Linked DNA regions of Lepisosteus oculatus. The main gene of each other region encodes a partner of the protein of the gene in region 3 in a complex. Links are inferred from orthologs where the notes say so. Each region holds a gene or a part of one and is shown on either strand. Other genes may lie near its edges. The genes, in order: mks1, ahi1, tmem67 and b9d2.

Region 1 (7,465 bases), on a different chromosome or scaffold from region 3:
CACACTGCCTTCCCTGGAGGGCAGAAGCCAGGTGTGGGAAAGTCAAAGTCAGACAGAGATCCAGGCTCATACGGTACAAGTAGAACTGCACCCAGCCAGCACCATGCTGGTCTTAAACATCACATTGTGATGTGGCTGAAGATTTTACCATTTTCTTTTCTGTTGTGAACAGTAGCTTGACATCATACAGGTCACAACGTATTGAGAAGCAGAGTGGGCCCTGGATAGAAGGTGAAGGTGGCAAAGTGATATTTGGAGGTTACAGTTCCTTACACCATGCAACACCATTTGAGGCGTTTTCCTTCAGCTTAGGACACCAAATCATTCTGTGAGCCCTCAAGAACGGCAGAGAGTAACTAAAAGGTCCCTAAAAAAGGTAACACTCAGCTTGTCTCAGGCCATGAAATGGGCACAGTACAATCCAAAATGATAATACTTCGGCAGATTTCTTACGAATTTGTTTTGTATCCAAGAGCCATGTTTCACAAAAACTTGCAAAAAACATATAAATGTACAAATAAATATTACATCTTTTACATAATGCTGTATTTATTTGCAAAGTAATGTTTATCAGCGCTGTGTGTATGTGTACAGCCAGAGCGGGAAGAAGAGACTGCTGCTCACACTGGGCGCCTCTCCTGTCTCCTGTGCCTCACATGCGCCATTCTCTCCGCCAGCAAGGTGGGGGCAGCCCAGTCCGGGTTCAGCACTGGGAGACTGTGCTGCAGAGACACACAAATGCGACTAAGTGCTCTCATCTTCATATGCACTCTGCCTTGCATCCTACAGGCAACAACAGACAGCCATTCAAGGAAAGAGCAGCAGCCACACAATAAACATGAAAGCATCTCTGGCCCTTTAAAGCCCGAGCCAGTTGCAGAGCGGACCCACCTCCATCTCCCCGGACAGCAGGTCGCAGTCGGTGTAGGTGAAGATCCTGCGGCTGGCCCGCCCCCCTGCCCTCTCCAGAGCAGCGATCTCAGCATGGTACTGCCTCTCCAGGGGGCTTCGACATGCCGCCTCGGTCTGCAGCAGGGCCACCTCACTCTGCACACACCCCACAGGTCAGGAGAAACATCTCAGGGAAAAGACAAAGCCCAGCTCCCACTACACTCCTACTGCAGACGCTAGCGCTTGGCATGAAAAAATAGGTTCCCTATTAAAAACACGGACATGGTTCTTCAGGAACAAAATCATTGTAGAGCAAAATAATCCCAATAATAATGCAGCTTTAGGTGACTTCCTGGATTCATTTCACACTTTTCAGAAACATCCATCTCTCCTTTCCCTGGATTTCCTAAGACTGGACAGTGCTGTGTGCAGCCTCACTCGGTTGGACTCGTGAAGAGAAGGGAGTGTGGGAACTCTCTCCGAGGACGTCCAGCGCAGAGCGCGAGGAACACAGTCCCCACCACAGCACCAGGGCCCTGTCACACTCTTCAGGTGTGGCAGCCTGAGCACATTACAGTACCTCCTGCTTTTTCACTGAAGACTGAGTAACCCCTACTGCCATCAGGACAGGGAAGCGCCCAGCCGATGTTATTACTGCATCTGTAATTACTGAACAGGCCCCCACCTGACCAATTACCGGGCCCCCACCTGACTGAAGAGCTTCTCCTGCCAGCCCACCGTCACGTCCTCCTTGTCGTCCTGCTGACCGCCTGCTGGAACACAAGACAGGCCCGTTACTGAGCGGCCCCCAGCAGACACTGGCCGCCACTTGCACTGCGCTCCTCCACAGTCCTCACTGCCAACAAACAAACCAGAACCCGTGTTCCTACAGTGTGTGCGAGCGTGTGGCGGGACACCCTTACCCTGGCAGCGGAAATGCATCTCTTTAAAGAACTGCCAGCACTCAAGAAACGGTATCAGCACCAGCTGACGTCAGTAGGAAATATATACTCTCTGGTTGTACTTTTCTCTGGTTTGCTCCATATCAGCGACTGCCATGCTGGAAGCTCTGTGCTGGCGCTAACTCCCTGACCTGAGATCCAGACACGAAGGCGTTCAGACGTCCTACTAACACCCTTTGGATATGGATCTCCTCAGGAAACTGGTCCCAGTTAAAGAGGGCCTGGGCCCTGCACACATACTCACCTGAGCTGGCTTGAGCACTGAAGGTGAGGAGCTCAATGAGGCCCTTCTCCTGCAGGGCAGAGGCCTGCTGCTGGAGCTGTTGGGAGAACACCGTGGGGGACGTGATGCGCTGGAGCCGCACCCTGCAACACAGAGACACAACATGCTGACACAGTACTCTGCTCCACTCCAGCACTGCCACACTGAGACAGCGCTGCACCACACTGACAGGTTACTCTGCTACACTCCAGCACCGAGACAGCACTGAATTGTGTTCAGAATTGCGATACGACAGTAAAGGGAGCTGTACGAGCATAATCCTCCTTTACAAACTGTAAACAACTCTAACGTTACATTTGGATGTAACAACCCCTTACGTTTATATAAAATATAAAGTAGCGAATGTCGGGAATACCTCCAAAAGCAAACGTCGAAATACATGCTGTACTTCTTTTTAAAAACGCTACTGGATTAGATGCTGTCTGAACGTGCACTTTACACGCGTTATCGTTATGTTCAACCGGCGAGCTGAACTCGCAACGTTGAATATACCACGTTACTCCCGGCAAGAAGAACCAGCACGAATCTGTGAAGTGCTCTGTTTGTACGTTCAAATCTTTCTTGTTTTCGGGTCTTTCCTGGTTACCTTATTTTCAGGTTTTCGACTGGATCCCTGGAGCGATAAACCCCTTCCCCCGTATCCACACTCCAGCCCTCCGCCATCTTTGCGGACGTGTGTGTTGTCACGGTAACGGCAGGGCTCGTTTCCTGCGGTTTACCGACACAGGGCGGTGGAGGCAGGGGCTGTAGCCAGGACTTGATTTTGGGGTGGACCGGGCTCTAACTGACCGTCCTGCCAGCATAGGGGCACCCCTTCAATTTACAATGTCATCCTCGAGCGGTATAATCAAACAGCAGAATTAGCGGAACCTCATACTGTATATATACACGGTCTCTCTCTCTCTCACACACAATTACCTAGGCTGCTGCACGCTACTGAGCCACGACGGACACATGCAAAAAAAAAAAACAATCAGTGCCTACCTCTGGTGAGGTTTTGGCCTTCTAGACCAGACGCAGGCGTCGGGGCTTGGAATTCAATATGGCGATAATCTCGTCACGGTCTAGAGAGTCGGCAAAATCCCGTTCAAATGACAGCTAGTTTGCTAAGGTCTCTCGTATGAGGACTCTGTCTTTAGCTAAAGAAAAGCTGCAAGAGCTCATTTTTACTTATTGCTTGTAACGGTTCTAAGTATTTCGTATGCCTGCTTTTAGATTGTTCAGTAGTTTTACAAGTTACTCTGAAGTCAATATTTTATTGCAAAACACAATGAACACAAGGCAAAAATGCAAGGTTCAAAATACGTACAAAATATTGTATTTATAATACCATGCAGGGCTTACCTTGAGCTCCATGAAGTTGGCCCCCCTACAGCCAGCACAAACTCATGACTTTGGTGTTTTATGCGTCACAGAGAAAAGAAGGCGCTATATTGAAATATATTGAAACATCCTAAGATCATCCCCCCAGTGGCCCTGGCGACGAGCGGAAGGCCGCCAGTCCTGGCCAGAGCCGGAGCAGGACAGCCCATCCCGAGAGGACAAGGCTGGGCCGCAGGGCTACGACTACAGTGTGCTAGCAGGGGCTCCTCATCAGCTCCTGGGAGGAAACCACAGCTAAAACCACACGCGCACCAGGAGAGAACACGCAAACTCCACACAGACAGGCCCCACAACCACCAATCAAACCCAGAGGTACAAGAATGCAAACCCTCTTCTTAATCAGGACATCCTTTCAGATGCTCAATGGAGATGACGAGTTACACATCAAGATTTTTATTGTTCCATGTGGGCCTTTTACAGATATTCCTGTAAGCTTGAATTCACAGATATTACATGTATAATCAATCATCTTGTTTTGGAAGATACTCCTTGAACCCCGAATTGTTAAACAAGGTAATGTGGTAAGAAAGTATCTGAAAAAAAACACACAGTTCATCCAAATCCACAGCTCCTTTATAAAAAGTTGTTGTCCAGTACTTTAAAAATACATTTTCAGCTTCCATTAAAATACAATTTGTATACAAATTCTTTTTTCTCCCTCCAACTCCTTCTTTTTGAAAAAAATAAAACGTAGTAATACACAATTATGAATCAGAAACCTCAAGCAGACTTTGCAGAACCAACAGGAGGTTTTGCCTTTGTTTCATGATAGGGGACTGACAGCCTTCTCTCTCTGTGGATGTGTTTGTTACAGGACCAGCACACCAGCAATCTGGTGAGAACATGATCTGGCAGAGCCAGGCTCAGGGCTCTAAGTCTCTTCTTCTGCTGCTTCAGCCGTCTCACTCACAGACCTATCGCTTCTACAGCGCTAATGTGTAACATCTTGACAGGTTGGGAAAAACTAAAAAGGCTGAACTCTAAGCACACTCACGACTCTCTGCTGTGCACTTTGAGTCGTTCCACAATAATTGTACATCTTAATTGATTTGCTTTCAGTTCAGGAAAAGTGGGCTTTAATAACTATCTTCATTCTCAACACGTTAGTTTTATTTGTACTGGGGAGAGGGTCAAAGGTCATACCAACAGGGCACTAACATGACCCTGAACTCTCCACCCTCTTCCCCCAACCAACAGGCACAGGGCAAGACCCAGCCTGGATGGGACCCCAGTTTATCACAGGGCACAGACAATCTTCCCAGAAGCCAATTACCCCACCAGCATGTCTTTATAGAGTGTGGGAGGAAGTTTGATCTTGACATCTCTAAAATACGCAGGTGTGTCACTGAAACAGCTGTAGCAGCAGTACAGAAGCACTGTAGAACACACCACTACAGCCTCTTCAAAAAATTGGAGGATGGAGGTAAGCTGTGATTTGCTTAATTAAAAAAAAAAGTTAAATAAACACATTTTCAAAGTTCTGTACAAAAAACAAAAACATACATCCCAGCACTACTTATTTTAAGTCTCTGGAAACCGGTTATTGTAGGAATTTGATTTGACGTGATTTTTAACAATTTACGCTTGAACATCACAAAGCTGAAGCATGAGCAACAGTAGCCAAGACTTGCTTCCGCCACTCACACAGTGTCAAGCCCAGACAATGAACATGCTCAGCACAATAAAAACACTTCCAGCAAAGGCATCCAATTTAAAAGCAAATGAGCAGTCATTTAACAAAATATTGACGTACTATGTGACAAAACCTTTTTCTGCTTGCAAAAGTCTCTGGGGGGAAAAAAAAAATAAAGAACTCACCTCCCACAACAGAGCATTTTGATCCACTCCAGGAATTACCAGCTGCAGTGTTGGTAAGAGCTGTAGCATAAAAAGCACTAATTGCATTTTAACTAAATGGATATATGCAAATACACTGAATAATCCATAAACATCCATATATAAGAGATTGCAGACTTAAATAACTGAAATGAATCAAAATACTATGCAATAGGACACTTATTTCTAATCGAAAGCAGGGATATCGACTCCTGCTCCTGAAGAGCCATGTTTTGGTTTTCATTCCACCCTGGACTCTTAAATTAACTGTTCACTTTACTAATCTATATTACTACTGTTTCATAAGTCTTCCACCACTGAGGATTTGTAAGTTACCAATGTAGCTACCAGGACCAGGAGTAAATATCAGCGTCTTATAACAAATCTCTTGTTCGCTGTTCACTCAGTGGACAAAACAAAATGTGTAGCTGTTGTTCCTCTTCATTAAAAACATGAAGCGTCGACCCCCCCCACCACACACACAAGGGTAAAAAAGCCTTCCCTTTCTAAAATTTTCACATCTGGTCCCCCATTGCTACAAGGAAACCCAACTTTTTGTATTTTAAATATATGGGTATGTGGAAAGATACAGATATATGTACCGACATGCTTTCTCTGCACAAAGTCCCCAAATTTTGATCATAATGGAATTTATTTTCCCTTTAGGCAAATGGTGTGCAAACAGCCCATTCCACAATAAACAAATCAGATTGCCAACCCCTTGCTCACAGGCAAAAATAATCAGGCCCAGATACTTAAGGACACCCTCTTCAAGTGCACATTCATTTGTCACAGCAAGCAGTAGTTGGGACACTCCAGGACGTTACCTCATTGTTGTTGCAGACTGCCAATGTTACAAGACTGGACTGAATCACACTGCTCCACAGCTGCTGGAGTTAACAGGACTGTGTACAGTCAAGGGCCACACGATTGCGCCAAACAGGTATTCAATCGAGCTGGTGTGTATATGAAAGACTTTCATCAAAGTTTTTAAAGAGATCAGAATCTATGCAGACTCTTTGCTTTAAAATAGTGATTGAGCATCCCTTGAAAATGTGGACAATGCACCTCAGTCTCACACATTACAGGCAGCAGCAGGTCTGGCCTGGGGGCATGTTTTCTGTTCAACCTGACTCACGGCTGCTGGAGAAAAAGATCTGAAAGGGAGCAGCCACAGGTACCGGAAGAAATCCAATGCCTGCAGCAGCACGTGGGGCTTTTCTAGAGACAGATTACTTTCAGGCCCACTTACACTTCCCAATCTTGTCTTCTACTCCATGCTTGGATGCTTCCTGCTCATGATCTTTGCCTCGAGATAACGGACACGAACGTCCCACAACGGTTCAGGAATATTCTGTCCCAGCAGAGGCTCCAGGGGAGGCAGTCTGCACCCCAGAGGGTCTTCACCGACCCTGTCCAGGCTCCCCATGGGAGCAGCACAGTCCTGGCACAGCAGCGTCAGAGCAGGAGAGTTCCTAGATTCAGGGTGCAGACAGCGCCCCCACATGGCCGGTACACCACCGCGGGTCTGGCGCCCATGAGCGCTGCTGTGGGTGCTGAAACACAAGCAGGCGGGTCAGTGCTCTGGGGCTTCTTCACATCTCCCACATCAGCCTTGGCTTCCTTCACTCCAAAACTGGCATGTGGAAGAATCTGAATTCCCACTCTTCCTCTCACACCTGGGATCTGGGACAGAGCAAGAAAGCAGCGGTGGCGCAGAAGGGAATGATCGCCAACTATTCCGGATTCCTCTACGTTCCCCTTCGGGGAAAGATGAAGCACAGAGTCCCCATTTCTGGTCTCTCTCTGCGGGGATACCGCGGACAGCGCTGGTCCGAGGAAGAGTCAGGCTCCCTGTGCACACGTTCCCAGCTCAAGCCAGAGCAGGGCTTCAAACACACAGCCGGCGTCTCCAGAGCACGAGAGACTGCCGGGCCATCGACACGAACGCCTCAGGATCTGTATTCACCTCAGAACCGAGCCAGAACCAAACAAGCCCAGCCTCTGGGTCTCTCATTGGGCCCCTTAGAGGAGCACAAGAGATCTAGCGAAATGATGAAATCATATTTTAGGCAATGCGGTTATTTTTGACCAGTTGATATCATCTGTT
Region 2 (7,946 bases), on a different chromosome or scaffold from region 3:
AAACAGGCACTGACCTGTTGGCTGCTCTGTACTGGAGAGGGCTAGAGGGCCTACAAGAGGAGTAGCAAGTGCTAATGCTCTCTGATTGCAAATTAATAGATCTCTTCCCTCAGAAGAGGCAGTCTCACCTCGTACCCCGAGCAACCAGGATGTCACTCCAAGCTACTATTACCCTGACTCAAAATAAGTGGGTGTCTATTGTAACAAATATAAGAAATATAAGATATCCCTGTAATCTCAATCATAAAGAGAGGAAAAAAACCCTACATTCAGTTTTTTAAAAACTTTTACCTACATTTGATATTACATTTAGATGCCTAATGATCAAATGTAGCTAAAATTACTTTTCGGAAACTGAATACAGTAAAGGCTTTCTGCCTCATTTCTTCAGAATTACAGGTTTATCTTCTTTTTGTTACAGAAACACAACAGGTTCTTGTCAATGCAGCAATGCAGGTGGTCCAATGCCGCTCCTGTTATATCAATATATGTCAGCACAGAGGTTTTCATTCAAACTGAGCACTTAAATCATCTCATTACTGACTTAACTGTACCAATACATCAACTTCTCCCAGCTCTTCAGGTGCTGCTGACTTACAAAGTGGTCCTCCAACACCAGAGATGGAGCACCTAATACTCTGTTCAGCTCCTTAACTGTCACAGTTACTGTATAAATAGCTGCAATGTCTACACTATCTAGTCCCTACACAGTGGTTTCAGATATGAATTTTCAATAGTATTAGAATATCTAATGAGAATTTATGTAACCAGGACTACTGGAAATTATTATCTGTGAATCTATCGTTGTAATTGTAACTGAAAAATAAGATTCTAACAATAAGATCTTAATATTCTTCTGGTCTTCATATTGCCTCAGAAATGTCAGCATTCAGAATATTGTGCATCATAAATTTCCATTACAAAAACATTATTTGGGGATGTTTGAGAATAACAACCAGGCAAAGTTTGAGTCTGTTTCATTGCTTCAGCACTGCTTATCTTTCAATAACTTAAATACAGGTCTGAAATTGGTCTTGGCAAGTCTGGTGTCCCCCAGGGCTCAATACTGGGCCCCTTGCTCTTCAGCATTTACATGTTCCCACTTGGTCAGCTTTTAAGATCACATGGCCTCAGCTTTCATTTTTACGCTGACGATACTCAAATATACATCCATACCAAACCTGACACTGATGTGGCTGTCTCTATTCTATCTAATTGCATCTCTGACATAAAAATTTGGATGACTCAAAACTTCCTTCATCTTAACTGTGACAAGACTGAAGTCATGCTTATTGGTACCCCCCATCAAGACTATGCCCTATGCTATCATTTACTGTGGCTGAAAAGATGATCAACATATTTGTATTCTCTCGAATTGACTACTGCAATGCTCTACTCCCTGGGGGTATCTAAATCTACTCTGAACAAGCTGCAGTATGTCCAAAATTCAGCAGCCAGAATCCTGACCAGGTCTAGTGCAAGTGTTCACATTACTCCTATCCTGGAGTCCTTGCACTGGCTTCCGGTCAAATTCCGCGTAGACTTTAAAATCCTCATGCTCACCTATAAGGCTTTACATGGCTTGGCACCTCAATACCTGTCTGAACTTTTATCGCCCTACTCCCGACCTCGCAACCTCCGCTCTTCAAATTCTGCCCTCCTTATTGTCCCCCAAGCCCGTCTACATTGTATGGGCGACAGGGCCTTCTCCTGCTATGCCCCCAAGTTCTGGAACTCTTTGCCCCAGGATATTAGAGAGCCACCTTCTCTAAACTTCTTCAAATCCAGACTCAAAACCTTCTTCTTCAGAAAAGCCTTTACTTAACTGGTTCCATTCTTCACCCCTCTGCTCTTCTTAGTAATACCTTCCACGGTCTCCCCCTATTGTTATTGTTGTATTGTTGTAATTATAATTGTGTCCTATCTTGTGAAATCTTCTTATTTATTGTTGTAGTCTTCTTATTTATTGTTATTGTCATCCTGTAAAGCGCTTTGAGAAGCCACCTTTAAAGGTGCTATATAAAATAAAGTGTATTATTATTATTATTATTATTATTATTATTATTATTATTATTATTAAATGTTTAAGGTTAGTTTACAGAGGAAATTAACTGTAGAACTACTTCCAGACTTCATGTACCTTGTAATAACACCAAGTATAGTTCTAGTCATGAGCTGTGAAACCAGTGGTTTTAAATGTATTTGTTTGGCTTGAATTTCAATAGCATCATAGCATCTTGTCATTTATCCCACACACAGCGTGTGCAGCTTGCATCTACAGAGCTGTACATTTTACTGGAACAATCTGGCTCAAGGGACAACAGCAGTGTCCCACACGAAATTCGAACCCACAACCCTCCAGTTATATACAGTAGGTAAACTACTCCTCCAGTGCTTAGTTTACATTTCAGGAGTACTACATTTTTTCTTTTTGCGAATATATTCTTGACTGAAGAATCAAACCTATGTAGCGACTTCAGAAACTTGAACGCTCTTCTCTAAATCTCAACATCACATCAGCTTAAGCTTTACGGTGATGTTTCGGTGAATGATGGAGAGATAACAGTCAATTCTATACAACCCTACTGGTATCAGACACCACAACATGACTCACGTCTAGTCCTTAGCAACAGTGCCGAATGACATATTGAGAAAACAGAACCCAAACATGAAATCGCGATCAAGATGCTACATAAAAATAATTAGAAAACAGCATCCTCCGCAAACTTTACTCCCGCAATCAAAACAAGCTGAACTCATATTTTAAATACTGAAATGCATGCTGAGTCTCGAGACACGTACCTGTGTACATTGTTATTCTGCGGACTTTTGTGTGTGTCGTTTACTGTATTAAAACACGAATCAACACACCAGGACAGACAAATGCATCAATGGAGTCAAGCCGTCACGATGGTTTCTCAAACAACAACATTGGCGAGAGCCGCTGTCCGTGTGACGCCACAGCACGCCGTCGCCAATCAGAATCAAGCGTCCTCTCCTGCGGCAGACAGTAGGGTAGGGTGTCTTGTGCAGTGGCGCAGGGAACAAATCTGTGCGTGCGGGGTCATAGAAACCAACAAATTACAGGAGACTAGAGTAAAGTTGGGGTTTGTGACTCTGGTCTGTTGTGCGCTCTTTTTTAAATCTTCCAGTCGTAGTCATGTTTCAATGTGAATGAACATCATTTTTAATTCTTATTAGTTCGACAGAGTATATATTAAAAGTGCAAAAACACCAAACAAGAAAGGCTGCACGAAGCACACGTAATTGCAACGTTGTCAAATAATTTACGTTTTGCTATTAAGGCACAATGGCATATGTATCACATTTAAAGTGTGTGATTTGCATACATTGGTGGGTGAATGTGAGTTGAACTTAAGCTTAAATTTACAGGATGTCCATATTTGAAATTGTGCAAGCCGGACACTGCTTAAAACTGAAAGTATTATTATATCGTTCAATTTCACACGATGCCTTCTTAATATTTCAAACCTCGACTGAGTGATTGGTTAGTGTAATAATACATTGATATTTACTCTATAAGCAATTTTCTGCCTTAACATTTCAAAATATGATTATAATGTTTGAAATGTTTTAGTATGTTTATGCGTTGATCTATTTAAACGATGTTTTGTGCTGTACTGCATGAGAAGCACCGTTCAAATACAATCATTGTTACCATATTTAATTATCTGCAAATTATTGAACATAATCTTAATTGTTTTTCTTACTTTCACTGAAAAACCTTTCATCATTGGTGTAAATTTACTGTACGCACAATGCACTGTAATGGTTGTGCTGCATTGTGTTGTTGCCACCAGGTGGAGATCAGATACCACCAAACTAAATAGCTCCTGCATTTGCCACCTGATTATGAGAAATTCTGTCTGTAAACTCCTTTGCATAAACATTTACTTATATAACACGGGATGAATGTATGTTCGGTCATGGTTCATTCCAAACAGTTAGTTTTACAAAATAACCAGAACTATGACTTGGCAGGAAACCTGTTTCAGTTTGTCTCTTGGATCAGTTTAAAGGGCCAAATCAGCCAGGCATTTCTTCATCTCTAGGTGCTAATTCCATGAGTGGTTTGTGATACACTTCACTGTATTATGGTTCCCTCCTCCTTTGGAAATTGCATTGTTTTTTTTTTGCAGTGATTTTGAATGGTAATCTTTTCTGCTCTCTAGTTATTCTACTGCCTCTAATTTAGCTTACCTACAGCTGTTATTCTGCAAGGATCAGCACCCAGGCACCTTATTTACTTCCACACCTAGTCTCTTGGTTGTCTAATCTTATTTCACAGGTACCACTTCTTTGTTCTTTGTTAACAATGCTCAGATTCCTTTCTCCTTTCTCTTCCATAATTCTGGCATTTGTGCAACAGTGTTTCAGTTACAGTATGTCCTCATGGAATAACTCCTCTACTTCAAGGTCATATTTTTCAAGTCAGACATATTATATATTCTATAATCGTCTTCCTTGCTTACTATTGATTTTTCTGTCCATCTATTTCTGACCACTTTATCCAATACAAGGGAGCTGGAGCCTAACCCAGATATACCCTGAGATATACACTGGAATAGAACACCAAGGTACACACTGAGAAAACACAGACATACAGTACACATGCACACACACACTCACTTTGGATTCTGGGAGGAAACTGCAGCACCCGGAGGAAACCACTCAAACCAGGTAATCCTCTACCATACTTTTCTTAGCCATCTGCTCCATAAAACTTTTGGTCCAAAACCATATATTTTGTAGACTGAGCTACCTCAGCTGTTTTGTTTTATGCTCTCCACACTTTAGAGATCTGCACCACCTCTTCCATATTTAATGAAAACTCTGTTGCTCATTTTGTATATAATCTATCCCTCTCCTGCTTCATATCTGTTGCCACTTTCACCCTCTCATATTTAGCAGCTGGCTTCCTTTCCTTTCTCTCCTACATGCCTTGTCCACTCACTCGTCTCAAACATTCCCTTGTGGTGTAAGCAGCTACCAGAATCTAACGCTCTCTCTAACCCCTACCATAACACTCTCTCTGTAACCACTGTCCTGTGCCTTCTTAAAACACATGTACTGTGACTTGAAATAAATGTGATTTATTTATCTTTCGTGTGATCTATAAACTACTCGTTTTACTATTTCACACTCTCTATTACAAATCAGGTTACAAAATCTTTAGCAAAGCAATGAAGCGAAACATTTTAGAGGATTTGCACAAAACAGAACCTAAGAGATTAATCAGAGAGATGAATCACAGAACCTAAATTACAAAACCACTTTTTTATGAAAAGGAAACCTTTCAAAATGATGAAGTTTTTTTTAACTAATGCAAAATTAAAAATCCGTGTTAAATATTAATGCCTTTTCTAAATTACTTTTCTTAAGTATTCAACATATTGTTAATGAACGTTTGATCGGTACTTGATTATAATACATTTATTGCTGTTATATTTCATTATGATCTACTGTATGCTCACTTTTGTAAAAGGAAAATGTACTTCATTCATTGAACTTGACTGTATGTGAGCAGCTCCATTTTAGGTTTGGGTTACCATTTAGAGCTTTCACCAAGCACCGTGACTTCTCTTTAAGATTGTCCTGTATGTCACCAGAGTGTCTTAATTTTATTATCTATCAGTTAATTCATCTGACAGTGTGTCACAGTACGTGCTAACACACTGATATACAGCATTTTTCCAGGGACCCACTGTGATTCTTCAGAAAATAAAAAAAATGCATCTTTAAATATATGTTGGCAGTAGGTTATTAATAGGTAGCAGACAAATCTACCTCCACCCTTTCCCCAAACCTAGAAGGTTAGCGCTAACTTTGCCATTGGCACGGTTTTCAGCCAGTTCACTAAATCAGGCGGACTCCTTCCTTCCTGCTGGGGTCACTTGCTGAGTTTATCATATCATTTATGCTACATCTTTGTATCTCCTAGGTTACATGCAATCTCTTCATTAAATTCTTTTTTGTTGTTGTTGCTGTGGGCGTTCTGTGTGAAAGCAAAATCAATGTTTAAAATCATGAGCTCCAGAGACCCTAACTTTATAAGAGTATATTGTAAAATATTATATTTAAGTTTGAGTCCTTTAATATATTATCATTAGTGTTCTGACAGTTGTGGAATATTTAAAACATTTGGATAAAGTAGAATTATAAAGACCCATTCATTAATATTTTCTTGCTTGATTTTCCTTTAGCTCTACTTTGTAGAGGCAGGGCAAATGACGTGCACAACTCATATACAAGCAACAGTTAAATTTATATCTAATAGTGTTTCAAAGGAAGTGTTTTCCATTAGACCCACTTTAAGTCCTTCACCAGAATTTCTCTTAGATTTATTTGTGGGGGGTTTTCCATGCTACAGAACTAAAAAATGGAGGCATCACAGCATGGGCTTAACCTTTGTACTTTGTGAGTAATGTGCTGACGTCACGCCTTCCAGATTTAGGCATTCCTTGATTAAACCATCACGTTCTTGTGGGAAAAAAAACTTGTAGTGAATGCGAATCATGAGCTTCTACAAGTATGGCTTGATAGCTATGTGCCATATCCTTTATTTAATTTTGTGTAAGATGCAGATATTCACTCAGATATTAATTCTGTACTGTGTGTCTGTCAGACTATAACTAAAGTCCACACCCATTTGTAGCATTTCATGAGCTTATCACCACCAGCTCAGTTTTACACATTTTGCTTGCTTCTCCACTGACCAAAAAAACAAAATAAATAGAACATTTTTATTTTGACAAATTAGATTCTCTTCTTATTAATTATTGAAGATGCATCCATGAAATCAGTTTTTTACGGAGTCACAGGCAGCTCAGATGGCACACAGACACAAATATGATAAATATACTGATGGAAAAAAGAAATGCAGCACCTCTTCCTCCACACTCTGGCCCTCCTGTCTGAATGGAACAGGCTGAAGAGTGACTCATCCATGAAAAGGACCTGATGCCACTGCTGACGAGTCCATCGCAGCCTCTGTCTGGACCAAGCCAGTCGGTTGTAACGTCTAGGAGGTGTAAGCAGAGGGCCTCTGACAGGTCGCCTTGCTCTAAGGTCAGTAGCATGGAGCCTCACTGTCCTGTCACTGATGTGGGCTTTGTTTCTGCCGGAAATTTCAGCAGCAGTATGGGTGGCAGATGTTTCAGATGGACCAGTCTGATGTGTCGGTCCTGCTCTGGTGAGGTCACTCTAGGGTGACCGAATCTTGGATGGTTATCTGTACTGCTGGTCTGCTGAAACCTTGACATGCCTACCAGCAGCATGCCAATGGCCCTCTCCCTTGCTTCTGGTGACATTCGAGGCATTATGGAATGCATAGAAATGCATAGAAAACTGACTACTGACCTAAGTGTGGCCTTTCTCTTGCAGTGACCTAAGCTTTGAATTAAGGCCTTTTTAAAGGTGACCTGATCAGGCATTGTTCCACCTGGACCTCAATGGGTAAAAGTGCACCTAACGAGCTTTCATGTGATTGGCAAGTTGCAATACTTCACTGCACAAGCCGTATTGCTGGTCAGGGGGCTTAAAACAAATTGACAACTTTTTGGGAAAGTACATAAGCTACAGTATAACTATAGTATTCTTGTTCCAGAAAATGGTGTGTTTCTTTTTTCCATCAGTATAGATACAAGGGGACCAGCAGCAAAAAAAAAGTTGTAGGCCAGGCATCAGGAACTCTAAACTTGGTCCTGTACACTAGCTGCGTTTTAACATGTTTTCTACATTCATCTGATGTCTGCCTGCTCCTCCTGTTCTGTGGTCTTCGTAGTCAATACTATAGTCTACACTGGCAGTGTGCACAGAGGGTCAGCAGCCCAGTAGAGTGTGAGGCCCCACTTCCTGCTCCATTTCTATCTGTTTCTTGTCTATTTTTACACATCTACTGTATGTCTGTTAAGTAGAGAAATAAA
Region 3 (6,914 bases):
AAAAAAATACATCTCAAAAGGCATTTACCCACAAAGCAATTCAGCATCAGACAATAACTTAAGAATTGTAAATTGCATCCTGTGAAACAATGATAAACTTCTTCATATCACTTTCTCACATATGAAAGCTTTAAACCAACAGCTACAAAATAATCATAAAAAACATAAGATACACAACAATTCAACAACAAAACAGGAAAATATGTATACAATGTGATATGCTCCTCTGAGTCCTGTAAGAAAAGTATTACTTCAATAAGGCAAATCAGAGCTGAACAAAGTATACTTGTATACATAGGTATGTTTTTAAGAGGCATTAAAAATACGTACTGGTGTACCAGATGGACCACAAACACAGGAGAGGGATGTATTGACAAAGGATTCTTGACATCTGACACACCTGTGAGAAAACAGAACATACAGTAAACAATTTCTAGAAATACTTTATGTCTGAGGGAGATTTACTAAAAATGAGTCATTTACCTGTCTCCAGGAACATCTGGGACTGTAAAAACAGGTTTTTCAGCAATACAGGGCTCACACTTCCCTTCTTCCAGCTGCCTTCCGTTGACATCCCTTTCAACTGGTGGGGGAAATGTGAGGTCAGTAAGAAAAATAACATACACACAACATGGAGAAATGGTTAATATATGCGTTTATAATTAAGTCAATACAAGCATGCATTCCTTCAATTAAGCAGACATTAAGAACAATAGAGGAAGTATTTCCCACAGTAATATCTGTTTCCATGAAATGCAGCTCAAGGGCAAACTCCAGTCCCAATTTCTCACATATCAAATCTCGGTAGCAATATGACTCCATTGACAGTTTAGACAAATTTGACAAATTTTGAATTAAGCACAAACTCGTGAACTTTGGGAAAGTACCGTTAAGTTGCCATGTTGTCTCCAACTCACATTCAAGTTCCCCAGAAGTGTGATGTGATGCGGCCCTTCCTGCTCACTAGTCACTGTAATGACTGATGTAACGTGATGTTCAGAGTGAATAACAGATTGTGCAGCAGATATTGCACCACAGAAAGTTTCCAATGTGATATGCATGCAGAGTTAAACAAGCAAGAGTCACTTCACGTCACTGGAAATTTTGTTACCTCGTTCTGAATGGCAGAACATGGCGCTGCATGTGATGGAAACTGGAGGTTTTACAAGTTACTGTGTACATTTGACTGTTATTGTGGTTTGAAATGCACTCATCAATGCTGATGTTTTCTAAATCCGAAATTTAAAAACAGTGTTCCAGTTCTCCCTTAACTCGCTAGGGAGATTGTAGATTTAAAACAATCTTACCCAGTATACTTCCAGCTGAGCACTGGCATGTTCCATCGTCATTCAAACCTCCTGGGCATCTGATACATCCAAAGCCATCCCTGGTGACTCCCTGTTATGACAGACAGGAGATATACCCAGAAACATAAAAACAACAGAGATGTCATACCTGGGAAGGTGTGCTGTGAACAGTTGCTTTTTAAGCCTGACTTAAAAAGACCAATACCTGTCACGCTACCCCGCCACAACACAAAAGAATGTGGACATCGTTACACAAAGTGTTGTGGGAGCATGGAACAAGCCAGGACCTTAGTTTCTCGCAAGAAATGGCTGGCTGAGATCCTTGGATCACTTAGCTACTAGCAACCAAATGGGCTAGATGGGCTCTTAGCAACATCCCCTTATTCCCGAGGATGGTAAATTAGTAACAGAACAGAAAAGAAGGATGATACAAGGGCAATTTTCAGAGCACACATTGACTAAACCTCATATAGTATATGGAGGGATGTTTGCTTGTTACGCCTTCTGGCATTTAGGGGCAGAAACACCCTGTTTTTAGTATTTTACAGAACAGGGTTGTTAGCCTTGTGCCCGACCTCCAACATGGAGGACCTGGCGCCTGACTTGGGACATGAACCCACTACCCTGAGATTGTGAGTCTCATGCACTACCAATGGAGCTAGTCAGGGCCCCAAGGGTATATGGACGTGGTTTAAAAAGAAAGAGTGTAAAAAGATAAAGATGTTGGCTGTGTGATCTGTGAATGTGTGATTGTGTGTTGAAATCTTAAAAACATAAGCGATATCAAAATTAAAACCATAAGTCAGGAGTATCAGGGAGAAATAAAATAACTCCAACTTTTGTTTCCTATACAGCCTACATTTAAGTTATTTTTCAGCTTCTTAATGAAAGAAGAAACTGCACTGAAGTAGAAGAATCATACCTTTTTTGTATCAGGACATTTTTCGCAGGTTGCAGGTTCTCCGTTATTAGATACCAGTACGAATCCAGTCTCGCATATACACGAAGTCCCTGTAACACAAAGCACTAAACATATTGAGTTGTTCTCTTATCCTTAGGAACACAGAAGAATGACACAATTATTAGGAATGATGACGGAAGTATAAAGTTGACAGATACTTTGTTTTCACGATCTGCCTGCAACCACAATGTATCACCTAAAACCATATTTTTCAGATCCAGTTCAGCCCGTTGCTTAACATCGATTGAAGAAATATGCAGCAGCATTTAGGTAAACCAGAATTTTACGTCTCGTCTATTTTAATTGTATCTTACATTAATTAATGAGACTATGATAACTTCAGTTTGTTGTTTTTTTTTCATTTGCATTTTACAATAATGTGATTAACTAAATGACATACAAATTTACGACAAAATTGCTGTTTGGAAAGTCATTCTGGCGGAGACCTATTTTGACATCTTGTGTTGACTCCATTGATGAAGAAGATAAATCAGAAGGGCGCCGAGCCGATTTATATACTAGCATCAAATACTACTGATACTTACCATCTGCGTTTTTGATTTGGTTAGGTCCGCACTTCACGCAGGAGAGACTTGAAATGTCAAAATATTGTTCTCTGCTGCACCCTGAGGGTTGCTGAAAGGGAATGGAGAATTGCTGACAACTGTAAATACCTGATTTCAGCAACACAAATAAAATAGATCTGCACATAAAGACACATAGCGTCCCTGTCGCCATGGTAGACAGCCTTCCTGTTTCCCAGAATCCAACCGTCCAAAACCCGGAGCCTTGTGCTGTTGCTGTCAGGCTTGTGGGAATGTTTTCATGAGTCTGAGAGGAAAGGAGGTGTGTTTGCTGATCGATGTGGTTACCACCGAACACATTATATACACTGTACATAGCACAGTTAGATTTTTTGTCATAGCATTAAGCATGTTTGCTTATTTTTTTCGTAATGAAGATAGGAATTGTTTTTTGAACGAGATAATAAATCTTGATTAGAAAGGAATTTCGTTTTTTTTTGCCAGCTTTTAGCTTTTAAATTGATGCTTCTCGTAGATATACCTTGTGGAAGTGAAGTAATGTTTTACCAAAAGCACATGAACGATTTGTGTCAGGAATTACATATGAAAACCAATGTAAATAAGGAAGTGTGATTATACATCCTGTTTTTGAAAGGCTCTTATATGCTTTGAGTTTATGGAGCCTTCAGTGTTGAGAAGTAGTTAAAAAATCCTCTAGCTCAGTTTGCATTACATTTAGTAAATGGCTTCTTTATTATTCCAGGTATGATGCAAGCATTGACTTAAATAATTCAATCCTATAAATCTGGTCAAGCTGTAGTCTTTTGACAGTGGCATTTATATTTAACTACATGAAAAAATGATCAGTTTATAAACATACACTCAGAAGGATCTAAATCATTTAATTATTAAATTCAAAGCGGTTACAAATTATAAACTGCTAACTAGTCAGAAAGATTAGAAGATGTATGAACCTGAGCCTGTGACTGGCCTTAAATACAGCCTATATAGTGTCTGCACTTTACAGCATTAGTTCACACAAAGCCGTTTTTATGTTCCAGTGTACCATCAACATATCAAAAGACAAAGAGGCTATTTTAGAATGAAGCATTTCAATTTGGGATGGTTTAGAGTTTAGTCTAAAATATTCAAGTGAAGATTCTCAAAAATGCATAGATCTGAAACCTTTGAAGTGTCCAATATGTTTTGGATCAATGCATTACAGAGAAAGTAACCCGTTCATCCTTATCAATGGAAAAATGAAAGTGTCTAGTAGATATGCGCTTACATGCGAAAAAGCACAATAAGAGATACAGTACTAAGGCTACGGTACAGTATAAACTAAAGTATAGCTAACCCAAGTGTTATGATTATTTTTTTTCGAAAAGAAGAAACACGTTTTGGCTATTCTGAGTTTCCGTAGATGGTGACGTTCTTTGTAATTGACGTTTTCCTCGTTGTTTGGAGGGGGGACGCCATTTTCTTCTAATATCGAAATTTACCTGTATTGGGGAGTGATTCGGGACATCTGGAGATTATATTTTCTGTTGGCCTGGACAAGTAATCATTTTTATTCTATATTTGTTGTACGTAAGGCAATTGCGTGGGTTCTGGGTTTTTCCGTGTACTTCCATGAAACCGTCTAATTATTGTCTGAGTGCTCAGGACCTTTCGGTTTATGTTGTTAACCCGCAGTTTTGTTACGTGTCCATAGGCTATTTCAAATATAATGTGTTGTATTTTTTAATAGTTGCTTAATTTAACGAAACGGTTCTCAGATATTCGTTTCCTTCCCGTTATACTGTAGTTTTAAATTTCCTGGCACTTTGTCCAGTGTTGTTTTGTGTTTTTGTTGATACCGTTAGTGCATCTGTTTTCTTAAACGGGTGTTAAAATAATGTATTTGATTGATTAACCGCTGCTGGATTATGAAATAACGTGCAGCAGTTTTTTTTTCCCAATTGCTTTAGGTTCATCGATGAGATTAGATAACGTGATGAGAGGTACATAACAGAGTGAGGCAGCGTGTTTGCTTTTACCACAAAAGCGACCTGTTTTCAGTTATTTTGTTTGTTGCCTGTGTATGCCATTTACTGTTTTGTACTGTAATACAATTTGAACGATATCCGGTACATCTTAAATTAGGCTTTAACGACCGAGTCACTTTGGAAGACGGCAAATACAATAAGGGTTTCATGCAGAATTTAAAATACAGTATAGGGGTTAATTTAACGGATGCGTGAAGACATTTGTGAAACAATTACTCGTTTTGTGGGCCGCCAGGCGCGGTGTTCTGTTTGCAGAAATCACAGTCATTCATTAACTTGGTTTGGATTAACCTAGTTGCATTTTGACGTCCTCGCAGTGATTTAGGAGGTTGAAGGAGACGTGCCACTTTTTTTTTCATTGCAGAGACCGGAGGGGGGGTCGGTCGGTCTTGATGCTCCACTCAGTGGACACCCAGTCCAGTCGACTCCCACCACACGACCCCTGCTATTCGGTCCTTCCCTCAGTTACAGTCTCTGAACATGCGACAGACAACAGCAGCAACGCCTTAAAATGCCAATCAGGAGAGGTGCAAATCCAAAACACCGGCAGCAATTAAGCACAGTTTGAGAACCTCCCAACAGGTTTTTGTTGCCTATGTAGTCATTAAGTTTGCGGGAACCTGGTATGCTCTTCTTTCTTCTGATATTATGGTTGTCACAACAAAGCAGCACTTTTAACTTCTGTGGGTTCACTGGAAGAAAACCCGTCTGTTTTCCTCTGAATAATCTGTCAAATCAGTATAATTGCAAGGGATAGGGCTGCGTCATTTATTTGGAAACTTTCACTTAGCACCTGGTCTGGGGGGTCTGACTGCTCATAGGGGGGTTTAAAATGAAAAGTGCAATGTTGTATAAGAAAGTAAGGATTTATTCTATGCATGTTGTAGTCTGATTTTTGCTGTAATTTAGTGTGTGGATGGGATTTCCACTTGCTGTTTAGAAAGTACGTAATCTTTTCTGCCACACAATTTCCTTGTTTTTCCAGGCATGGGTTTTTTTTTAATTGGTAAAAGATGAAATGCATGTTTTAGAGTAAATTAAAATGAATCTTTATTCTAAAATAGAATTGCAGTTAAAAGCTTTTTAATTAAAAATTATATTTAAAAATAATATATTTTTTAACAGCTCACTTCTCTATCTAATGACTAGGGAAGATGTATACAGTATGGTAGAAACAGTTTCATTTTTTGTTCTGAAGTTTGCTGTTGCTGTTGCTTGGTTTTTATCTGGAAAGCAAATTGGTTAATTTCCTTGAGTCGATCCATCAGAGACTTTGATATTTCTTAGTTCACCTTGATGTGAACAACAACTGCACCTTGAATTCTGCAGGAAATGAATTCATCCTACCCACAGGTCTGTGGATGAGAGCTGTTTTTTTTAAAGCAGTGACGGGGTCACTTAACGTTGTGTGATTTTACTGCCTGGGAGATCTTCGGCTAAGTTTTCTTGATCTCAGTCATTGTTTGTGAAATTTATCTGTGATGTTTTTTTTTATCATCATCTTCGTTCTTTCTGTCCGTGATGGCTTTGGATAGTTTTGTTTTAGGGTTTGAATCTCTTCAATAGCTTGTTGTTTCGGTACTGAAGTAAATTGAGGTGGGCTTTTTTTTACGATACATTGAAATCTGTGTAGATGAATAAATGTCTGTTTAAATCAAGCTTGTCATCTGGATAATATAGATGATTTTTTTCAATATTATTGATTGATATCTGTTTGGCATAAAGAGAATGGAGTGGATACACGGAACATGGGAGCCCTCACTCTACTGAATTGCTTGGTCCCACTTTGTGCAATTTGCACTTAAGCAAGAGATCCGTCTTGGTACATTCCTCAAGCATTGCCACTGCATTGGATGTGACAGAAACATTCAAAAGCAAGAACACTTTCCAGTGGAAATTGGACATCGGGAGCTTTTGTATTTGGTGTGGATAATACTGATGTTTGTTCCAGAAAATGGAGTGAAGCAAGAAGACTGATCTGTGTTCTTTATGAACAGAGAAGATGGAGGATTTCTCTAGACTTTCATAAACGCTTGTTTCTTTCTTTCTTAGTGTCTAGTTATGATTTTTTCCT
Region 4 (7,155 bases), on a different chromosome or scaffold from region 3:
AACTGTTCTTTCCAGATGGAGTAAAAAAAAATAATCAAAAAGCAAACCCCAAAAAATCCAGGTCAGTGCAAGTCTTCCATTCACCCAGATGGATATTTCTTCCCCATAACTGAATTCTGCAAACCCCTCGTTTTTCATAGGAACTACAGTATAACCCTTGACAGTGGGAGTCAACGTTAGCTTGTCTTCATCCATCCAAGAAACAAAGAGCAAGGGTTAACTCTGCTGAAACTGCAGTTCAGAATGCTTGACGTCACTGCACAGCACATGTGAAAAGATGCGGTCCTCTTGCAGTAAAAGGGAGGCCCACAGCAAAGTGTGTGGACACACTGAAAACATCAGTACAGAAACATCAGCTCTGAGCTGGAGACAACATACTGTAAGGTGAAATTGATCTTAAAAAAAAGTGTGCTCAATACAAATGGCAATTTTATGCATTCATAAATCAAACTCTGGGCCATTTCAGTTCACTGTTAAATACAGCGCAGAAACCATTAACCAAAGGAAGAAGGTTTACATAGATGTGCATTAAAATGAGTTAACTCGACAGATGAACAGACAATGTGCTGTAAGGTATGATTACAGTTGTGGGGCAACATTTATGTTGTTTTTTTCCAAATCACAGAGACTGAGAGGACAGGAAGAAAGGGGAAACAGAGAGAGAAAGGAGAGGAACAGAATGAGAAACAGGAAGAAAAGGGGAAAGACAGGAGAGAGGACAGAAAGAGAAGAGAGGTAAGCAACTGAGACAGGGAAAAGGGAAAGAGAAGGAGGAGGAAGTACCTTGCAGTCCCTTGGTGGCAAAGTGTAGGTCTATGGGATGGCTCCAATAGGCCACTTCACCAATCTGGGGAGAGTCCACCTGTGTCTGCCCTTCCCTCAGCCCTGACAGCAGGCGCCATGCCCCTCCTGCAACACACACAACACTGTAACGCACGTGCACTGTGTCCTCACTGAGATAAGGGAGGACATCAAATCATTGAAGGTTTAGAACTGAGTGAAGGTAGGCCTGATCATGGCTGGTGAATACCTGTGTGGACACCCCACTTGCAGAAGAGGCTGTTCTGAGGGAAGCCACTGGCCCCCACAATCTGGCCTATAATGTGCAGCTCCGCCATCCTGCTGAGAGAGAAACACCCTTACACACTGGCAGACACAAGACACAACAGAACACCGTTACACACTGGCAGACAGAAGATACAACAGAACACCGTTACACACTGGCAGACACAAGACACAACAGGACACTATTTCACACTGACACTGGAAAGATAAATGAAATACAGGTACTGTCAAAACTTTAAGCCTGTATACAAGTAAAGCAAAAAAAGTGAATGATACTGTATACGAAATACACTTCACAGGTAAGGTAGATTGTTCTCATTATCAGCATCATCCTGTAGCAATAGCCATCTATTCTGCCATCTCGTCACAGGTTTACGGACACCCTCATCTTACAACAATGCTGGCTGGTCCCTGAACTGTTCCGGCACCGAGACCAGCTGTCAGTGCTAACGATCTGACCTGGGAAATCATACCTCACCTAAAGGCTGCTGCGCTGAGGAAGAAATCAGATCACAGAGGCAAAGAGCACCATACTGCAATGTGAGAGAGGACTACACTGCAGTGGGCACTGGCCAGGGTTATTTTAGAACAGGAGCACCCATAACCTTGTGAAACATTCCAATGGATTTCTATTACATGCATAGGGAACAATGGTGATAAATAAAGGTCATATAATTGTTAGGTGACAAACAAGATGAATGTGCTTCCCCTTCGTTTCCACTTGTTCGCTTGTTTTGCTCTGTTGATTCTGAAGACATCCAATGGGCTGATGTTCTCAATGGCCCGGAGGATTTTAAACACCCGAGTCAGTTCCTTCACCTTTGAAGAACGTTCATTGGATGATCAATTCACAGACTCACTTAATTAACTTGCTCTCATATTGAGCCCACTGAAGTGCTGGTCTGTATGTCTGGAAAAACATTACCATCACGCAGGGGGACCAGTGGATACCAGCAGATTAAACCATGGAACATGACCAAGGGGACACACACTGTACTGTATGTAAACTATGCTGAAACGCTTTAAGAGCATAGAACAAACGCTTCTTTAGCCAAAGAGTAGGGAACAAAACAAGCTACCCAGCCTTGTTGTTGAAACCATTTCACAGACGTCTTTACTAAAACGATTGGATAAGCTCCTTGGATCAATTAATAACCATCAAATGGGCTAGATGGCCTCCTCTTTTGTAATGTAATCTTTATAATATTATTGCTGATCTTCTTATGTCTAATCTGTCTTATGTTCTTATCACACTGCTCAGATTCAGTGCAGATGCATCCTCAAAGCTGCATTCTTCAATCTATTAATGATACAATTGCTTCTTTCAGGCTACTCTGTTGTTACAAACTGGAAAATAATGATTCAATTTAATTTTAATCACTCTGAAATTAAGTTGGGAGTGAAAAGGGGAAGGCACTTGTGGTAGGATGCTCTTAACTCACGTTTTAACGCATTTTATAGCATGCTGTTACGAACCCATTGTTAATAAATCACACACTATGCACTGTGATAGAAATACGAGCTGTTTCCTACTGGCAGGCGCGTCAAGTTACTTGCAGAAAAAAATCAGGTGTTTGATCCTTGTAAAATAATAACTCCAGAAACCTGGAAAAGGGTGTGAAATAACATTTTATTCTACTGTAACATCACACCGTTCCGTTATCTGGCACAACCTAGACCAGTCTGTCCAGTTACCAGATAGTAAACAATGCAGGTGCTGTTCCAAGCGGTAAAGACGCTCTCGAGATTGTATTTCATGTAATATAAAAAAACAGCTTTATAGAGTGGTGAGACACCTCACGACTTAATCCCGAAGACACCGAAATTTTACCTTCAATCCTCCCGGTGCTTTCCAGGTTTGTTTTACTTCATTAATCAAATTAACTTTCCTTGTTTACATTCAAGCGGCGGTCTCCAGGGCTAGAGAGGCGAGTCCCCGCCACTTCCTTAGCAACCCGACACCGGGCTCTGCCATTGGTCCTTGATGTCACGTGGTCCCGGGCTCGGGTTTTTTTTTAAGGTAGTCGGGACGCTGTCGAACCGCCGTCCGGGAAGTACTGTAATTACAGGTAAAATAAAGTGAGCTGATCTGACCAAACAATCGATCAATGAGAGCTGGCCCAAAACCAAATGGTACCACGAGGATCAAGTTCCCATCGATGAGTTACTGCAGGTAACACCCGTGGGCTCTTTATCGATTAATGACCCACCCCAGTGCGTGTTCTCCACGCAGGCGTGCGTGGAGACTGACGGACCTGCTCGAAATATCGCCCTGGACCTATGCCTTGGTTTCCCCTGAGTGTGTACGAAGTGTCATTGCTCCATTCATCTTATAACTAGCACACATAAAGAGTATTGCAGTGGAACAGTACAGTTCTGACACACTGCGCGGAACGGTACTGATGTGTACTACATTACAAGGATAAGGAAAACGAACAGTTGGTGCAGAACTGTGCAGTAACAAGTCGAAAGCCGTTAACTACAATCGGTACAATCAATCGTCTAACACTGCCGGCAGGCGGAGCCTTGGTGCCACTTTCCGAGCCCTGCGACGACTCCTTTCGCCGTATCCGAGTCGGTGATACAGGTTTATGATAATGTGGACTTGTAAAGGTTATGCAGAAGTAATATGAAAACTAAAAATACATGTGTAAAACCTGAAAATCTTAAGTTATTTCGGACAGAAGGCGCTTAATAAAGGTAGTGTACGTGTACACTCTTGCCAATTTGTTACTACAGCGACTATTGCTACAACCGCTCCTGCTGCGGCTACCGTGAGTACCACCGCTACAGGTGTTAAAACTATCGCTGCAGTTACTACGGTCACTAGTACTAACACTGTTGTGTATACTACTAATACTGCTGCTGGTCCTGGTGCTGTCGCTACAGCAACTAGTTGGCCTATCGGTACTGCTTACAACAACCCAAATTGCAGCTACATCTGTTGCTGACTTATTTTCCCGTAAGCTGCCCCTGAATTGACGGGGAGGGAGAGAGACGAGCAGACTGTTTTCACACGCTTCGCCGAGGGCCTGGGGTTTAAGAGTTAGGACAGAGAGAGAGGGGGGGTTGTGAAAAAACTTCGCGTGGAAATGCAGGGGTAGGCAGCCGCGGTTGAGAGCGCCCAGCCGAGAAATGAGCTCGGGCCGCCGCTGTCTTCAACAGGTGACGGCCGGCGGAGTGTGCGGACCAGGCGCCGCGATAAATAAATAAGCACTCGGGCGGAATGAGAGCGGCCCGTAACCAAGGCGCTGCGTGGTTCACAGGACAACCGCACACATACACACACACACAGCCGACACGAGAACACAAACACGGAACTCGCACTCGCGGAAGGGAAAATACATTCACGCACAAAACAAAAAAACAACCCCACGCAGGATCGGCGGCACGACCGCAAGACGACGCGGGCGCGCCACGGCCTCCCACGCCAAAGCTGAAGGACGGGCGTTCATAGAGCAGCCAGAGGGCTGAGGAGGTTCTTTCCTTTGAAAGCCGATATATGAGCATACTGCGACTGGCGAGATCACGGGTACACTCCCTGTACATTAAGGGGAAGATGGATACGCAGACAGACGAACAGAAACACACGGACGCGGAGCCGGCACACACCGTAAGAGGCGCGCACTGATCTGCACTGGGGAGCGAGGAGGACGAATGAAGAGTCGCCCAGACGCTTTCTAATCTCAAGACAACGTAGACGCAGAAAAAAATATATATAATCACCTTACAAGGTAAGGATATGTCCAGTGGCCACTGCAGTGTAGGTAAGGATATGTCATTTTAACCTTTTACAATGGGGGACTAAAGTAATATACAGTGGAACAGTCCTGTTACAGTAGGAGCTACAGTCCCAGTACAGTAGAACAGTCCTGTTACAGTAGGAGCTACAGTCCCAGTACAGTAGAACAATCCTGTTACAGTAGGGGCTACAGTCCCAGTACAGTAGAACAGTCCTGTTACAATAGGGGCTACAGTCCCAGTACAGTGGAACAGTCCTGTTACAATAGGAGCTACAGTCCCAGTACAGTGGAACAGTCCTGTTACAATAGGAGCTACAGTCCCAGTACAGTAGAACAGTCCTGTTACAATAGGGGCTACAGTCCCAGTACAGTGGAACAGTCCTGTTACAGTAGGGGCTACAGTCCCAGTACAGTGGAACAGTCCTGTTACAATAGGAGCTACAGCCCCAGCACAGTAGAACAGTCCTGTTACAATAGGAGTTACAGTCCCAGTACAGTAGAACAGTCCTGTTACAATAGGAGCTACAGTCCCAGTACAGTAGAACAGTCCTGTTACAGTAGGGGCTACAGTCCCAGTACAGTGGAACAGTCCTGTTACAATAGGAGCTACAGTCCCAGTACAGTGGAACAGTCCTGTTACAATAGGGGCTACAGTCCCAGTACAGTGGAACAGTCCTGTTACAGTAGGGGCTACAGTCCCAGTACAGTGGAACAGTCCTGTTACAATAGGAGCTACAGCCCCAGCACAGTAGAACAGTCCTGTTACAATAGGAGTTACAGTCCCAGTACAGTAGAACAGTCCTGTTACAGTAGGAGCTACAGTCCCAGTAGAGTAGAACAGTCCTGTTACAGTAGGAGCTACAGTCCCAGTACAGTAGAACAGTCCTGTTACAGTAGGGGCTACAGTCCCAGTACAGTGGAACAGTCCTGTTACAATAGGAGCTACAGTCCCAGTACAGTGGAACAGTCCTGTTACAGTAGGGGCTACAGTCCCAGTACAGTGGAACAGTCCTGTTACAATAGGGGCTACAGTCCCAGTACAGTGGAACAGTCCTGTTACAGTAGGGGCTACAGTCCCAGTACAGTGGAACAGTCCTGTTACAATAGGAGTTACAGTCCCAGTGCAGTCGAGCAGTCTGATGCAACTTGAAAGATTAGCAATATTTCAGGGTTCCAGTTCAGAAGCAGATGAGTGCAGATTAGAAACATGGTGGTCTTTTCATTCTGTGTTTGGCAGCTGCCTCCTTACCCACACCTGTCTCATACCTCCGTGCAGTTGCCATGGAGAAGTTTGAAAAGCTGGCGAAGATCGGCGAGGGCTCGTACGGCGTGGTGTTCAAGTGCCGGAACCGGGACACGGGCCAGATTGTGGCCGTGAAGCGGTTTGTGGAATCCGAGGATGACCCTGTTATCAGGAAAATTGCCCTGAGAGAAATCCGCATGTTAAAGGTACAGGGAGGGGGCGAGAAGGATGAGCCAGGCAGGGCAGAGTGACGGGAGAGGTGGAGAGGGGAGAGAGCCCTGCTGAGCTGGGTCCAGGCAAGAGCTCACTGTCCTGGGCCACACCGACAGCAGCCTGCCTAAGGTCCACACTGCTCAGGCCAGACACGCGCACACAGCTTCACCCACCAAATCAACACAATCACACACACAGCTTCACCCACCCAATCAACACAATCACACACAGCTTCACCCACCAAATCAACACAGTCACACACACAGCTTCACCCACCAAATCAACACAATCACACACACAGTTTCACACACCAAATCAACACAATCACACACAGCTTCACCCACCCAGTCAACACAATCACACACAGCTTCACCCACCCAGTCAACACAATCACACACAGCTTCACCCACCCAGTCAACACAATCACACACAGCTTCACCCACCCAGTCAACACAATCACACACAGCTTCACCCACCCAGTCAACACAATCACACACACAGCTTCACCCACCCAGTCAACACAATCACACACAGCAGCCGAGTATCTGACCAGGGTGAGAGACAGCAAGGTGAAACAGACCCTGATTAAACACAGGCCCAGTGACCGCTGCCTGGCCTTAGAAACTGGACACAGACAGACCTGACTGTCCAGAGAGGACAGCCTCAGTGACCACAGTCTGGCCATAGACACTGGACACAGACTGACCTGACTGTCCAGAGAGGACAGCCTCAGTGACCACAGTCTGGCCATAGACACTGGACACAGACTGACCTGACTGTCCAGAGAGGACAGGCTCAGTGACCACAGTCTGGCCATAGAAACTGGACACGGACTGACCTGACTGTCCAGAGAGGACAGGCTCAGTGACCACAGCCTGGCCATAGACACTG

Evidence for each region.
Region 1: tmem67 (region 3) and mks1 share a complex: the UniProt entries of both Homo sapiens proteins name them as parts of the tectonic-like complex. The link is inferred for Lepisosteus oculatus from reciprocal best matches to the Homo sapiens genes TMEM67 and MKS1.
Region 2: tmem67 (region 3) and ahi1 share a complex: the UniProt entries of both Homo sapiens proteins name them as parts of the tectonic-like complex. The link is inferred for Lepisosteus oculatus from reciprocal best matches to the Homo sapiens genes TMEM67 and AHI1.
Region 4: tmem67 (region 3) and b9d2 share a complex: the UniProt entries of both Homo sapiens proteins name them as parts of the tectonic-like complex. The link is inferred for Lepisosteus oculatus from reciprocal best matches to the Homo sapiens genes TMEM67 and B9D2.

The regions. Positions count from the first base shown.
Region 1 is NC_090721.1:453,756-461,220, forward strand, and holds the start of mks1 (tectonic-like complex member MKS1), read right to left. Parts: upstream 3,014-7,465; 5' UTR 2,800-3,013; coding exon 2,723-2,799; intron 2,220-2,722; coding exon 2,098-2,219; intron 1,665-2,097; coding exon 1,600-1,664; intron 1,048-1,599; coding exon 892-1,047; intron 723-891; coding exon 625-722; intron 14-624; coding exon 1-13. UniProt on the Homo sapiens protein: Component of the tectonic-like complex, a complex localized at the transition zone of primary cilia and acting as a barrier that prevents diffusion of transmembrane proteins between the cilia and plasma membranes.
Region 2 is NC_090697.1:50,193,408-50,201,353, forward strand, and holds the start of ahi1 (jouberin), read right to left. Parts: upstream 3,014-7,946; 5' UTR 2,803-3,013; intron 1-2,802. UniProt on the Homo sapiens protein: Involved in vesicle trafficking and required for ciliogenesis, formation of primary non-motile cilium, and recruitment of RAB8A to the basal body of primary cilium.
Region 3 is NC_090705.1:7,410,560-7,417,473, reverse strand, and holds the start of tmem67 (meckelin), read right to left. Parts: upstream 3,024-6,914; 5' UTR 3,007-3,023; coding exon 2,814-3,006; intron 2,319-2,813; coding exon 2,230-2,318; intron 1,399-2,229; coding exon 1,308-1,398; intron 584-1,307; coding exon 484-583; intron 401-483; coding exon 331-400; intron 1-330. Other genes in the region: rbm12bb (RNA binding motif protein 12Bb), read left to right, coding at 6,173-6,193. UniProt on the Homo sapiens protein: Required for ciliary structure and function. Part of the tectonic-like complex which is required for tissue-specific ciliogenesis and may regulate ciliary membrane composition.
Region 4 is NC_090698.1:6,671,924-6,679,078, reverse strand, and holds the start of b9d2 (B9 domain-containing protein 2), read right to left. Parts: upstream 3,011-7,155; 5' UTR 2,897-3,010; intron 1,123-2,896; 5' UTR 1,119-1,122; coding exon 1,031-1,118; intron 910-1,030; coding exon 784-909; intron 1-783. Other genes in the region: cyclin-dependent kinase-like 1, read left to right, coding at 6,090-6,257. UniProt on the Homo sapiens protein: Component of the tectonic-like complex, a complex localized at the transition zone of primary cilia and acting as a barrier that prevents diffusion of transmembrane proteins between the cilia and plasma membranes.